Linked DNA regions of Oreochromis niloticus. The protein of the gene in region 2 purifies or fractionates together with the protein of the main gene of each other region. This does not show direct contact. Links are inferred from orthologs where the notes say so. Each region holds a gene or a part of one and is shown on either strand. Other genes may lie near its edges.

Region 1 (7,262 bases), on a different chromosome or scaffold from region 2:
CTTTGAATTAAGAAAAACTTTGTTGTATAATTACGGGACAGTCCAGGCGATGAGCTACCAGATGTTTCGGTAATTTTGCACATTTACTAATTATAATTTAAGCACAACTGGTTGGATTTACAGACTTCTTTCATTTAAAATAACAGCATTTCTTTATCGTGTGGACAAACTGACACAAACGGTTAAATGTGTAAGCTCCTTTAAATTAAGAGAAAGGGCAGCGTCACTCGTCCGTCTCACTCGAGGTTTAAATGAGCTGTATAGAATGACTGTGACCCTGTAACTTTGTAGCCCTGTAGAGCCTGAACCATGAAATAGCTGCTAGAAAATGAAGCATTTATGGATCCTTGTGTCAAATTAAAAGTAATATGAATTTTAAATTGTATCATACGTCCAGCATTTTTTTTAAAGTTTTGCTTAAAAGTATATTGTGCAGTTGATTTCGTTTTCTTGATAATGTAGAAGCTGAAGACTAAAGATACCGTTACTAACAAAAATATGAGCCAAACAACTTTGTACATATATTAAGAGTCTTTATTTAATTCTTCACTCACTCACATCCACACAGGCTTGTCTACAGGACAATACAAAAATAAAATATGGAAACGTGAATTGTTCAGCGTCTCATGTGTCTCAGTGTGTCATCATCAATAGCTTTCAGGATCTGCAGCTTCGATCCTGCATGATCAGTTTGGACTTCCAGTTTCATCTTAAATGAGCCAGCGAGACTTTATCCAACATATTCATTTTGGCAAAGGAAGTCCATGAAACTGTTTGTCCATACATTGGTATGTAATATAAATATGCTAGCTCACATCTCTACTAACTCCTTCACATTTTATTTAAAGCCTCCAAAGAACCTGGAGAATAATGAGTCATCATCCCGCAAGTCTGAGAAGTGGTGGGGATCACCTGGAAGAAAACCAAAAATAAATACTTTTTTTTTTGTGTGTGTGTGAATAAACAATTCAAAGAACACACACCCGAGACAAGCTGACCTGGCAGCACAGGTCCATTCGCATGATCTGGTCCCTCAGAAATCCCAGAACCTCTCGAGCGAGTCACCGTGGTCTCCTCGTTGCCTTGGCCGTCTCTTACCGTACGCCTCTCCTCTACACTCTGACACACGCAAACGAAATGCTCATCAAAACTGAGACAAAACTATTAAAAGAATCACTATGAATGTATTAATACAGAATTAAGAAACACTCACCCCATCAGGCTTCACCACCTTAGTGACAGTGACAGACTGAAAGAAAGACCGTGTTCTGGGCTGGTTTGGTGCCTGACCAGCAGGTGGTGTCAAAATCTGATCCAAGCCACCAGAGGACACAGCCGAGTCCAGATCTTGGGAGGATCAGAATGGGAATAGAAAATAAATTTGACACAATCTAAAAGAGCTTCCACTAAATTATCAAATAAAATGTAAATATCACCACCCACCTCTGTCACCTTTGTGCTCCTCCTCTGGAGTTTTGTGTCTCCAAATATCATTAAACTTTTAAACACACAATACAAAAATCTCAGTGAATATACAATAGCTTGTGTCGCAACAGAAACAAAGAGGGAGGAGTGAATATCTCCTTTACCCTGGAAAAAGGGGTCCGGCCATGAAATTCAGGTGACTCGTAAGAAGGTCGGTGATCACCTCGGGGCTCTCTGGATCGTTGTTGTGTGTCACTGTCAGGATATTTGAGCATAAAGTCTCTCAGAGGGTTTCCACTGGAGCTTGCTTGCCCTCTCTCTGCTCTGTCCTGAGACGGTGGTGGTGGCATGATGTGGGGAACATCTAAAACACAAAGAGGGCAAAAGAGCAAACAGGTTAAACACAGAGCAGAGGAACATGTCGAGTTGTGGTTAGAATTTGAGTCTTCATGGGCATGGATGTCATGATTAATTTTGCGCTTTTAATTATTTCTTTTTCCAGGGTGAAAGAATTGTACACCATACATCTTTACTGACACTTTTTTACTTGTTTTTTTGGGGTTTTTTTACATTTCATTAAAAACAAGCGACATGAAAACATGTGGGTCTGTTTTCATACCAAAGTGTCCAGCCTCTGGATGTCCCTCCCAACGACCCAGCTGGGAGAATATCTCCTCCATCTCCCTGAGGACGTGGCCAAACATCGGGGGGTCCTGAATCCGCATCCCGTCCGGGCCAAAACTGAAGCCAAACCTCCAGGCGCTGTCAAAGGGGTCCTGCTGCTCCCCACTGAACCCATCATAGTGGAATCCATCTTCATCATCTTCATCGTCATCATCGTCATGAGTCATGGCATCGAAGAAAGGGTCCCTGACAGACGAAGTAACACAAATGTACAAGCTTTGAAATCTCCCTTTGGTTTAGAAACTGCGTTATAACATGCCGCCAGCAAACAGACCTCAAAGTACTCAATCGTATTAACTCCGTGAGCATAAATAACACCTAAATAAATCTAGCTGAAGGACCCCTGTGGTTTTCCTGGCAGAAAATACTAATCTTGTCCCTGACATAGCTGCACGCAACAGAAAGTGTACTAAGTTCAGCTAGCTTAGCCGAGTGTACAGCTGCGTACTTCGACGCCATAAACTCACCTCCGGCCACGATAATGGCCTCCGGGTACCCCGAAGAACCCGCGGAATAAATCAAAAACACTCATTTAACTGCAGCTTTGGTGGACACTTAAACCATAACTTAAAATGTGCAAGCAGCGGACATCCACTGGAGAAACTCGCCAAGATGTACTACAGCTGTCAACAGTGTCGTAAAGCGTTCTAGACGATTCATCATGACGCAATCTGTCGTAATGTTATTTTACCGTAAATAATAGATAAAATGGGCACTCGAAATAAAAGCGCACTGTTGAGATTCAGGTAACAGACGGCGGGTCTATGCCCGGGGCTGGCAAGATGGCTGTGTCTACATCGGCTCACTTCTCACCTTGCTTGTCATGTGCTTCATGGTGTTGTGATGTCAAGATGTATGTGCTCTCTGTGCAGAGGAGTTTTTTTTGTTTTCTGTTCTCATGCTGACCTCCCACAAGGAACCCAGTATGAGGTCTCTTTTTTTCATTCCTCCATTTGCCCATTGTATTGTACATTTCAGTGTTCTTCCAATTACTACCTGTCTCCGACCTGTCTTATGTATGTATGGTCGGGGGGGGGTCCAATTTCACTGCAGGTGAAAACTTGCATGTGACAAATAAAGGTTTGATTGATTGATTGATTGATTGGCAGTATGGTCAACCACCTTGAACCTTGAAGGGTACACCAGAATTAGACTACAGTTTGCACGGAGTCGACAAAAATTGGACAACAGAAGATTGAATAAAAGTTGCCTTTCTAATAAGTCTCCATTTCAACTGTGATATTTGGATGGTAGGGTGAGAATTTGGTATTAACAAAAAGCTTGGCACCATTTTGTATCGGTGGTTGGCACACTTTGGTCTCCTTAGTACAATTTAAACTCCACAGCCTTTTTGAGTATTGTTGCTGACAACTTCTGATTGCTGCTTCCAACAGGATAACAGGCCAAGTCACACAGATCAAGCACCTTAAACTGGCTTCTTGAACATGACAATGAGTTTTTAAATCAGCCTCCACGGTCGCCAGATCTCAATCCGATGGAGCACCTTTGGGATGGAGTGGAAGATTCACATCATGGATGTGCAGCTGACATATCTTCTGCAGCTGTGTGATGCTATCACGTCAACGGGGACCAAAATCTCTGAGGAATGTTTCCAGTGCCATGAAAAAATTTAAGCAGTTATGAAGAGGAAAAAAAAAAAAAAAGTACAATCTGCTGCTAGCAAGGCGTAACTGGTAAGTGTATGGCTCATATATATCTCATGAAATGAGAGTATAGTACAGTTATGCCAAATAGGATCAGAGCTCATTTAGAGAGAACATCTACAGCTTTTAGTATTTTTTTATTCTGATGCTCCAAATACAGAAGCTTTGCATGATTCAGAGTTTAAGAAATCCAATTTCTGCTACGTCTCACTTCATCCACTACCTGAAATGACCCTTTTCAAGCCCACTCATTGAGAGCCCAATGTCTTCTGATTGGCTGCAACTCACTTGGCTTCTAAAAACAGAACCTAGTGCTTGCAAGGTGTAATCACATATAGAAAAAAAAAAAAAAAAAAAAAAATCATACTAAGCTGACATGAGCTTGGCACAAGAAACCTAATAGAGACCAAGTGTTTAGAGCAGTCTGAAGCCTCAGCCAGTAAAATCAAATTTAGCTGCGTTTAATACAGTAAAAGACCTCAATCCAACACAGCACCTTTGGGAAGCATTTACTGGCATTTAAAAGTACAGTTCTGTCTCTCATTTGCCTACTAGAAAGGTGCCAAGATGCATATCTAGGGGGGTAGAAAATATATCATGGAGAAACATAAAATGCTAACGTGTATCCAAGACAGATGGAGGTTAAAATGTACAAAAACAAAATAAAGAACCAATACCAACCAATACCGTACATTACATGGCCAGAAAATGTGTGATGTAGTTATAAGTTTGGAGTTTCATTTGGTACTCGACATCCTGGAGTTTATTATGACTCAGCCCACAAACAGAAACCAACTGGAAAGCCTCCAGAGGTTTTAGTTCTACCCAACATGTCATCCACGAACTGTATCATGTATGTTCAAGTATTTAAAAGCCACATGAGAAACGTAGTTTCTTAAAAAGACATTCACATCCAAAATGATGAAAATGTCTTTTTCTTGTTTATTTACTTAATATTTATATATTTTTACAAAATAAAAAAAACAAAAACAAAAAAGCTAACAAGTCTGCAAGGATTTAAGAAGGAAAAGAAGAAAGCCATCGAACAAACAGGGACTACAGTACTTGTGTTTTTTTTTTATATATGTACAAGACAAGTTTATCCATTTAAACTTTTTTTTTTTAAAACGCACAGTACAAAAAGAAAAAAAAAAATCACTGACAAAAAAAAAAAAAAAAAAAAAAAAGAAAAAAGAAAAGAAAAAACCCATAGTACAATTCTGTCCATCAGTATTCAATGCCGCAGATTTCCTTACAATGTTGGGGGGACAGGTGGCGGGGCAGGGAGGGCCTCAGAAACAAAGTTATTCACACTGGAAGGCAGACTGGGTGTGTATTGGCCTTGGAAATCATTCTCATCTTTCAAAATAAGAGGGGCCTTATGAAATATTTATAATTAATGGGAAAAGTTACTGTACAAGTGTTGGATAATGAAAAAACAAAAATAAATCCTGTGCTAGGCAAAAAAACCAAAAACAAAACAAAAACCCAAGCACAGTACGCAACCATGGCCCCCCCGTGTGTACAAACATGCACGCAGTCACATGACAAACACACTTTTTCCTCACAGTCAAAGCCAGTGAGCTTGCTTATATGTCTTTATATATAATATATCTATATTCGGTAAAAAATAAACTTCACAACTCTACCAATTTATAGAATTGTTTCTGCAAACTTAAAATGACATTAAAAAAAAAAAAACCCCAAAACAAAACAAAAAAACCCCCAAAACATGAAAAGTCAACGGCAAATTATTGTGTTTGGAAATGGTTCAGGAGGGAAGAATTTCCATCAAAATTAAGGAACGGGGGAGTTGAGGGTCTGAAATACAAAACCAGCCTGCCCCCACCCCCTTTTAGAGATTACTTCATTCCTCCCCTTCAGTGGGAAAAAAAGTGGGAAAAGACAAAAAAAAAAAAAAAAAAAAGACCATACAGGAAACGTTCATTTAGAAAAACAGTTCTATGTTACAAGTGAAAGAAAAAAAATGGGGGGGCAAGGGGCGGGAAGATTAATACGATACAAATTCCCAACACTTAGTATTTCACCCTCTTGATGGTTTGCTTCTATCACCATTTATCTCCAATCTCCCCTCACTTTTAAAGCCCCTCCTGTCCCTCCCACCCATCCATCCATGCATCATTAACAGTGCTCGTTCTCTCGGCACAGCACCTCCTCTGACCGCGGTCAGAGCTGTGGGAGTGCTGGGCCAAGAGACTGGAGGGAAATCTCTGCAGGAGGAAGCGGGGATTTATATGTGGAGACTTATTTGCCGAAGGAGTGAAGAGCCTCCCACCCCTCCCAGCTTTTTGACACTGCGGGGGGTGGGGTCCCGTGAGTGGATGTTAGTTTGCCCCCCAGCTGTAGCTGTTGTACGCCGACTTGTTGATCTGAGACTTCTGTTGGATGGAGGCGTTCTGGCTGCGCTGTCCAGTGCCGCTCTGTGGAGGAGAGTCACAAAGTTCATCAGTGAGCTGCCGCTTCGTGCCATGTGTTTACCTAAAAGCAGCACAGCTAATGTCACGGTGAAACCACAAACACTTAATGAACTTGCCAACAAATCTTTTAAAGGCAATTCACTAGATTTGTATTACTACTTATAACAGTCTGACTGCACGATGCTCGAGTGCTACTTCATTTATTTTGAACGTGCTTTATCAAAAAGACTGGAAGTTGTCGACTAGTTAACAGCCTGAATATAAAAGATGGAGCTACAGTGATGTCGCCCACTCATTTTTCAGCGTTGACCATAAATTTTTGTCGCCGTTTAGACACTGGTGACTGAGACAGTGAAGGATGCCGTTTTTCAACCTTAAAGCCGACCCGATCTCAGGCTCTAAAGCTGTCGCTACATTGGTCACCGCTCGGGGAACTGGTGTCGACACACTTCCATCATTTACTTTCAAGTCTATGCATTTTTGAGCTCATTCAGACTGTTGATCATTACTATTTGACTCACTGGGTGGAGTTTCCTTGTCAACGAATAATGCCTTTGCTCCGCTTGTTTCTAAAAATCGCATGACCTCAAATATGTAAGCATTTATATATACACTGCACCTGTCCGTCTTGCTGCAGGTGGTGGTGCAGAATCTGAGAGTGGGGTTGTTGGTGTGGTGTCAGGATATGCATGAATGGAGCTGGAGCGTAGCCGGCAGCGGCAGGAGGGTTGATGGGGCCCCCGCTGCCCAGCGCAGAGGGCAGGCTGAATGATGCAGCTGGCGTCCCGGCGTGGAAGCCCTGCTTCTCAAACGACTGCAGGGGACCAGGAAGAAAAATAATCAGTTTGGCCACTATAACGTTTTTTTGTTTGTTTGTTTGCTGCTACAAGACAAGCAAAAGCATATCCTGTGAGTAAATATTTCTGTTCTATTCTGTAGTTACCTGCGTCTTTGTGTAAACAGACCCTGAAATATCTGGTACTCCCGTGTTGCTTGATGTCACAGAGACTCCTGCAGAGAGGGGGAAACGACACAAACTGAGCTCATTAAC
Region 2 (7,315 bases):
GTTGCCAGGCCAAAATCTGTCAGCTTCAGGTTATCTGAAGGTGAAAAAAAAGAAAAGAAAAGAAAAAAAAAAGTCAACCCCAGAGGGCGGTGGTTATAAGGAATAAAAGAGAATCCTAAAAAGAGAATCCTTTGATAAAGATTGCATTTCCTCACCTTTGTCATCCAGCAAAATGTTCTCTGGCTTTATGTCCCTATGTGTGATGCCAAAATCATGGAGGTACTCCTAGAAAAGGTTAAAAAAAAAAAAAAAAAAAAAAACTTAAAAAGAGAATAACAGCAGGAAAATACGCAGGAAGTCACATCAACACAAAGATGTTCTTCACTCACCACAGCCGCTATTAGCTGCTGGAAAAATCTATGAGCATCCTTTTCAGCCATCCCTACATCGGGCTCTAAAGAGAGCGTAAAAGAAGAAAGAGAGTAAGACCGAAATCAAATATTTGCAAAGAATGATTACTGAAGACTCCAGACGCATTTCAGCTAAGCTGAATTCATGTATTCATGCTAATCATATCTGAGTCAGGAAAGTTACAGCTGGAAGAATAAATCAGCAAACAAAAGGTTTTTCTTGTATGACAGTTTCCTCGTCAAATGTGTGTCTGCAGCTCACCGATTCGGTCAAACAGCTCTCCCCCGGTGCAGTACTCCAGGAAGAGGTACACAGTGGGTCCTTCCTTCCGATGGCCAAAGAAGCGTACAATGTTGGTGTGTTTGAGCATCTATGAGTTAAGTGCACACACAAAGATCCTCAAAACAGTGCTCTCAGCTATCACTCTACTTAGCTAAGAGCTTAACGTTTTTAATTAATTCAACAAATCTAAAACAATAAAAAAAATAAAAACAACTTCAGTGTCTGTTAAATTGCTTACAATCAGTTTGTATCTGTAAACTAGAGCAACAAACTGGTCAGTCTCAGCCAGTTTATCTTTACGAATCTAACCAACATTAATAACAAATGCCAGTTCTTTATATTTTAGCCAGTATGAAGTACGACTTCATACATGTTTGCTTTCAGTTTGCCTCTTCGGTGTCTGTTCAGCTGGTTTTTGGATCTTTTGTCATCATGTCACATCATTTTAGGTGAGCCGAAACAAGCAGACACATCTGTACATCTGTATTCTTATCTGCATGTTTGCTTTCAGCTTGCCTGGAATAGCAGTAGCTTTTCCCAACAAATGACACCCTCGAGCTGAGGGCTACCAACGTCCCCAGATCAGCTGAGGCTAGAGTTGGTTTTCACAACAGTAACAGTTTTTATCTAATTCTCACAGTCTGGGACTGGCATGAACAGGCTGTGTTTTTTTTTTACTGATGCAAGGAAAAGGGAAATGAGAGCATACAAAGCTGTGATTCAGTTAATTAACAATTTATTTCATGCAGCTGTTTACTGTATTAACATATGGATTTAAGAACAGCTTGACTTGTTTCACAACACACCACTGGTGAGCCGCTGCTTTCAATAATACTAACTGTGCAGGTGAAGGTGATGGATGTACCTTGTGGATGCAGACCTCCTTCTTGACATTTTCAGCACACTCTTTTGCCTGCGAGGTATCGATGACCTTCACTGCTACCGCCTCTTCAGTCTGTCTGTTCACCAACAGCCTCACTCTGAGACCAAGAACACAAAGAGGACAAACCGGTTAGATCATAAAGAGAAAAGAGCACGGAGGTGAAGAGAAGTGAGAGGAAGTCTGAGTGGAAGTTATCAGGATGCACAAAGAGCTAAAATCTTCCTACAGTGTTTCTAGAGATAATTTTCAAGTACTTTAAACTTTGTTAAACTATTCAATAAAATCAGAACGTCAGGTGTCAAATTCCGTCTGTTTTCGTTGTTTTTATTTTATATTTTTTTTTCCCCTTCTATATTTTACTGCATCATTGTTGTGCATTTTATTTATTTTAGTTGCATTTTAGATTGTTAAGTACTTTGTGCAGCATGCACTGTTGGAAATGTGCTATATAAATAAACTTGACTTTGACCTCTAGAAAACAAGAAAAACAAAAAAACCAAACAAAGATATTTAAGATCTTTTTAAACCCACTTAAAGAGTCAATCTAAAGTTAAAAGGTTCTTTTTGTGCGGTAGTTTTCTTCTATAACCAACTTTGAGCATTGGTATCTCTGGACACCTCATTTAATGGTGGCATAACGCCATAATTTAAGAATGATAGAAGCAGTCATTGCTACCCTGAGTGTTTGATTTGTTTTCTAACAATTCCATGGCAAAAACCATGGAATTGTTGTGGTAAAAATGGTTAAACTTTAAAGTCTCATAACATTAAACATGTTTTAGCATATGTAAGGTCTCATTTTTACCTACATTTTGATACCTGGTTCATCTTCTTTTTTTTTCAAGGCTAACTGTGACTGTGATGGAGTCAGGTGTCTCCTGTGAGTGATGTTTTTGGATTTTCAGATGAACATTTCTAGTGCATATACATGCCTGTCATGATCCCATGAAACAAGGGGGAAAAAAATCCTTGTGCAATGGCTGGAAAAGGACAGCTATTAAAGGCGATAAGCTAATGATAAACAATGATAAGGAAGCTTTCATACTCTCCGTAGGCTCCTTCTCCCAGAGTCTGAACAACGTCCCAGTCCTGCACAAAAGGCACCGCCATGCTAGAAACAGAAACACACGCATTCATCACTTTCGCTTTCTAATATTTACTTATGTATACATTATTTTCATAACAAGGGTCCTATTTCTTCTAACAAGTGTCTGTTAAGCATTTACCAGCTTACAAAACTTAACTTTGACAGCACTTTGACAGAGTGCTGTCGAATGTCATGATGCTCAAAAGAAAACCGCTAAGAAAAATAAAATACGAAAATATGAGAAAATAACCTACCTGCTCAGCCTTTTCACACAGCAGCGACTGCCACATGTAGCTATCCTTAAAGCTCAGACGCACGTCTTCATCCTGCTGCACTGACTTCTGAAGATTTTTCACAAATTTGGCGCGTTGTTGTCTCATTGGCGATAACTTCCGCTTGGACGTCATTTCCGCCTTGTCTTCTTCTACGCCTCCCTTCTTCTTCTTCTTTGAGTTTAGCCGGTCAGCTGCCACCTACTGTTCATTATTATCCAAGTCTTATTCGGATTAAACATGCCAGATTTACAATTCATTATTCAACATTGTTTAAAGCCTGAATAATTGCCACAAAATTCTATTTTTTTAAATGGAGAGTTTATTGAAACACCTGACAAATTTGTTTATAAAGTTATTTACATATTTTTCCCCTTATAATAGTTGTAATTTGCATCATATTCACTACATCTGGCCTTTAAAAAAAAAAAAAAAATTGCTTAAAAAAGTATTGCAAAATTTATTTATGCTTTAAAATGGGAAAAAAGTCACACTGATGATGTAGAAGTCTCAAAAACTCACAAACAACTGCATGTATTAAATACGATACACAGCCCTATTTTATCTCGCCCTGAACTGGAGATAGCTATACATGCATTTATTTCCTAACGCTTGGACTATTGTAACTCTTTGTTTATGTGTCTAAGCAAAGGTTCTCTGGATCGTCTGCAGGTTGTGCAAAATGCTGCAGCTTGGTTGTTGACAAAATCCTCCAAGTATTCACATGTGACACTATTGCTATTTCAGCTACACTGGCTTCCTGTTGAATTTAGAGTACATTTTAAGATCCTGGTCTTGACATTTAGAGCCTTGCATGGACTGGCACCACCCTACATCTCCGATCTGCTACAGCCATATGTCCCTAGCAGGTCCCTGGGGTCATCTGATCAGGGTTTACTTGCTATAAAACAGACTAAGATGAGAACTAAGGGTGACAGAGCTTTTGCCACTGTGGCCCCTAGACTGTGGAACTCTTGCCCTCATACATTGAGACCTATGGACTCGGTAGTTGTTTTTAAAAAAACAACAACTCAAAACTCACCTTTTTTGGACTTTACTTCTGCCTGTTTTATACTGTCTGTTTTACCCTTTTATTATTTGTTATCTTATGTGCAGCACTTTGTGATTCTGTCAGGAAAGGTGCTATATAAATAAAATTTTATTTATTTATTATTTATTTACTAGGCGTGAAAGGGTTAAACATCCATCCATTCTCTTCCGTTTATCCTTATTAGGGTCTCACGGGGTTGGAGCCTATAAAGTTAAACATGTGGCATGTTTTTTTATTTTCAATTGTAATTAAGATATGGGTTTATGAGATATGCCAGTCATTGCATTCTGTCTTCAGCGCTTTGGACAGCTTCACAATTCTTTTTGAATTGAGTTTGTAATGAGCTGAAAAACATTTTAAATCTTTCTTTGAAATTACTGATGCAGGTGTTTCACAGTAATAATTGCCACTTTGCTATTTTAAGAAGTGTAATAAAAGATAGAAAATAAACAATAACACAAGAAACAAACAAAAACCCACCCATCCATCCATCCTCATTTAGAGTCGCCCTAACTCAGGTCAGCACCAACACAGAAAGAACGACACCAAGCTCTACCACTACCCTGACATTAAAAATGATGTCCTAATATCTATTCCCTTCTATTTACCAACATTTATACACTCAGTTAATGTAATTATATGTTAATAATCTAATGTGACTCATTGTGCAGTGTAAAAAACTACATAAGAAATACAGATTATGACATTTACAATAACATGCTAGCTGCATGTGGAATCCACAAGACCCAATTTTAGCAACAAAAACTGCTACAATACACGTGGGTCAAAAATAAGGGAATTGCAATGCAGCTGTGAGTTTCATGCAAATGAATGTTCAAAAAGTGGCCTTTCTTCCCATGTAAGAAAACATTTTCTAGTTAATGGATGTTACAAAGCTTTTATTTAAACCACTTTTAGGTGTCTGAAAGTGTGAAGCTTCAGCTGGAAGCTCCAGCAGATACTGTCATTTCAGAAGGCCCTCACAGAACTGAGGCTTTTCCAATTCAGGTCACTAAAGGGAAAATAATAGTGCCACAGGGTTTATTCCCTGGAGAAACTGATGTGTCCAGTATTCACACTGTAAAATTACCCAGTTAGTCTGTGTGGCATGTAAATTAAAAAGAAGACAAAAAATCACATTTTCAAAACATAATCTCTTAACTGTTTTTCAGAAAACAAACTCAAAGCCAGAGAGAGCTTGAGGCACGATGGAGTGTTTAATCAATACTTGAATCAATGTGTCAACAAGCTAGCCTGGTGCTTTTGGGAAATGATGAAGCGAATGTTTGTACTTTGTCTTGGTTTCACAATGACTTTGTTTTTCGTGGAACATGTGACAGCGTGTGTACACATAACGGGAAATCCTGGATCCAAAAAAAACTTAGTTAAGGTCAGGACACACAACACAAACCATGCAACCCACATTTGTAGTTGATGCATTTAACTATTTCATATATAAACAATTGAATAAATGAAAACAGTACATCAAAAAATCAAAAAATCTGAGTCATGAGCACTTTTGTTACCGTTTTGCTTCACCTTTTGTTTTAAGTGAAAGATAATTGCTTAATACAGCTGCTCAGCTGCTCAGCTGCTTTCTGTTTGTCACCTCACACTGCACCAATCAGGTGTTATAACACAACATCACATAGTTTGGCATCTTTTTCATAACATGAGTAAAGTCTTCCCTGAAAAAAAGGTATCAAGAAAAAAGACTGCAAAATATTCCTAGTAGAGTGTCGAGTGTGTCTTTAATAGAGGACCAGCTGGAGATCCAGAGATTGGGGCCATTCGGGATCAGTTCTTGGCCTCGTGCCTTGTGTACTCTGAATTTGTCAGTTTTCCACGTAGTCTTTCGCAAAGTGATGAAGTGATCTTCATCCTTATTGCTGAAAGATGCATAGACTCTTTGTACAGCAAATCTTTTTACTAATGAACCTGATCAGTTTGGTAAATGTTCTACTAGTGGTTTTATTTATTTATGTATTTAATTGAGAATTAAACCCAAAGGCTCCCTGTTTTTGACCTCAATTTTTTCATGTTGTTAGCATCAGCACGTAATAAATATAAAGCAGTTTCCAAATAATAACTACTGTAAATAGCGTCCCAGCTCACATTGTAAGTGATAAATTAGATAAGAGATCTTTGTGTAATTCTAAATAAGTTATCAGTTGAGAAGGATTTATGTAAATGTGGAAATTGTTTGAGTGTTTTCTGTGATAAACATGTATTGATCCTCTTTTACAGGTCATAAAGTTAATAAGTACCAGGATGGTCTTTGTCCACTCCCAGTTTAAACATCACTCTCTACTCTGAAATAAATCAACCACTTCTGCAATATACTCTCATTTTTAAACTGTCCCCCAGTTTAAGCTTCAAGATGGGATTTTCTATCCACTGGAGTTGGCTTGCAGCGCTTTTATGTGCATTTTGGATGGGTAAGATACTTTTATTTTAGATAAAAAGTTATATACAATTTTGAATTTCTAGTAATGCGTTTGTTGTTTACTTAGGTTTATGCACCTTATAGGTGTAAAAACTGATCAATGTTCAAATAAATATTTATTAACTAATATATAACTTCAATTCAATTCAATTCAATTTTATTTATATTTATTTATATAGCGCCAAATCACAACAAAAGTCGCCTCAAGGCGCTTTATATTGTACATTCTGAATATATTCTGAATATTTGACAAACGTCCTTCTATCCATCAGGTTTTTAGAGACTTAGCAACATCATCAAATGTGAACATTATAGTGAATTTTTCAGAAAATGTAAGTCTGTACTAAATTTTGTTCATCATCTATTTATGGAAATTAGTGCAGGCTCAAAGAAATAATGTTGTCTTAAATATAAAATATCAGACTTTTTGCATTTAAAACATAACAATTTAAATTCTTGTAATACAAATAATGCTTCACAAAGGTAAGTAAAACAATGTATAAACCCTTAATCACTAACCTGGTGATTTTAGTAAAAGAATCCATTGCATACTGTGTACTTCAAAAAAAGGCAAATCATGAATTTTACACTACTTTAGTAATTGTGTAATGGTACGTATGTAAGTGTATGATAAACTTAAATTGTGGCCTCTGAGAACTGTGGACATTTTTTTTCAGGAGCTGGTGTTCGATGTGCTTGCCCTGAGAGTAATTTGCAAATGCAAGGAGGGAATTACACACTGAGCAACAACCTGGAGAGAGGCAGCATGTTGGTATACCACTGTCCTGAGGGCTACTATCCATACCCAGCAATAACCCGCTTATGTCAGGCTAATAACTCCTGGAGACCACGACCCAAAAGATTTCCAGCTCAGAGATGCAGGCGTGAGTGGCAAAGATGTTTCTCCCTTGCCTCACACGGCCTGATAACAACATAGTAACTC

What was found.
Region 1: the proteins of chek1 (region 2) and hax1 purify together in Homo sapiens (affinity purification with mass spectrometry; 3 studies listed by BioGRID and IntAct, with this or other methods). This does not show direct contact. The link is inferred for Oreochromis niloticus from reciprocal best matches to the Homo sapiens genes CHEK1 and HAX1.

The regions. Positions count from the first base shown.
Region 1 is NC_031985.2:17,528,549-17,535,810, reverse strand, and holds hax1 (HCLS1-associated protein X-1), read right to left. Parts: upstream 2,788-7,262; 5' UTR 2,642-2,787; coding exon 2,577-2,641; intron 2,296-2,576; coding exon 2,045-2,295; intron 1,790-2,044; coding exon 1,590-1,789; coding exon of another isoform or gene 1,571-1,589; intron 1,499-1,570; coding exon 1,444-1,498; intron 1,348-1,443; coding exon 1,214-1,347; intron 1,120-1,213; coding exon 984-1,119; intron 913-983; coding exon 839-912; 3' UTR 517-838; downstream 1-516. Other genes in the region: ubap2l (ubiquitin-associated protein 2-like), read right to left, coding at 6,119-6,214, 6,831-7,025, 7,155-7,222. UniProt on the Homo sapiens protein: Recruits the Arp2/3 complex to the cell cortex and regulates reorganization of the cortical actin cytoskeleton via its interaction with KCNC3 and the Arp2/3 complex. Slows down the rate of inactivation of KCNC3 channels. Promotes GNA13-mediated cell migration.
Region 2 is NC_031975.2:13,694,241-13,701,555, reverse strand, and holds the start of chek1 (serine/threonine-protein kinase Chk1), read right to left. Parts: upstream 3,020-7,315; 5' UTR 2,858-3,019; intron 2,628-2,857; 5' UTR 2,627-2,627; coding exon 2,562-2,626; intron 1,614-2,561; coding exon 1,499-1,613; intron 722-1,498; coding exon 613-721; intron 395-612; coding exon 330-394; intron 226-329; coding exon 156-225; intron 35-155; coding exon 1-34. Other genes in the region: complement factor B, read left to right, coding at 6,307-6,364, 7,050-7,256. UniProt on the Homo sapiens protein: Serine/threonine-protein kinase which is required for checkpoint-mediated cell cycle arrest and activation of DNA repair in response to the presence of DNA damage or unreplicated DNA.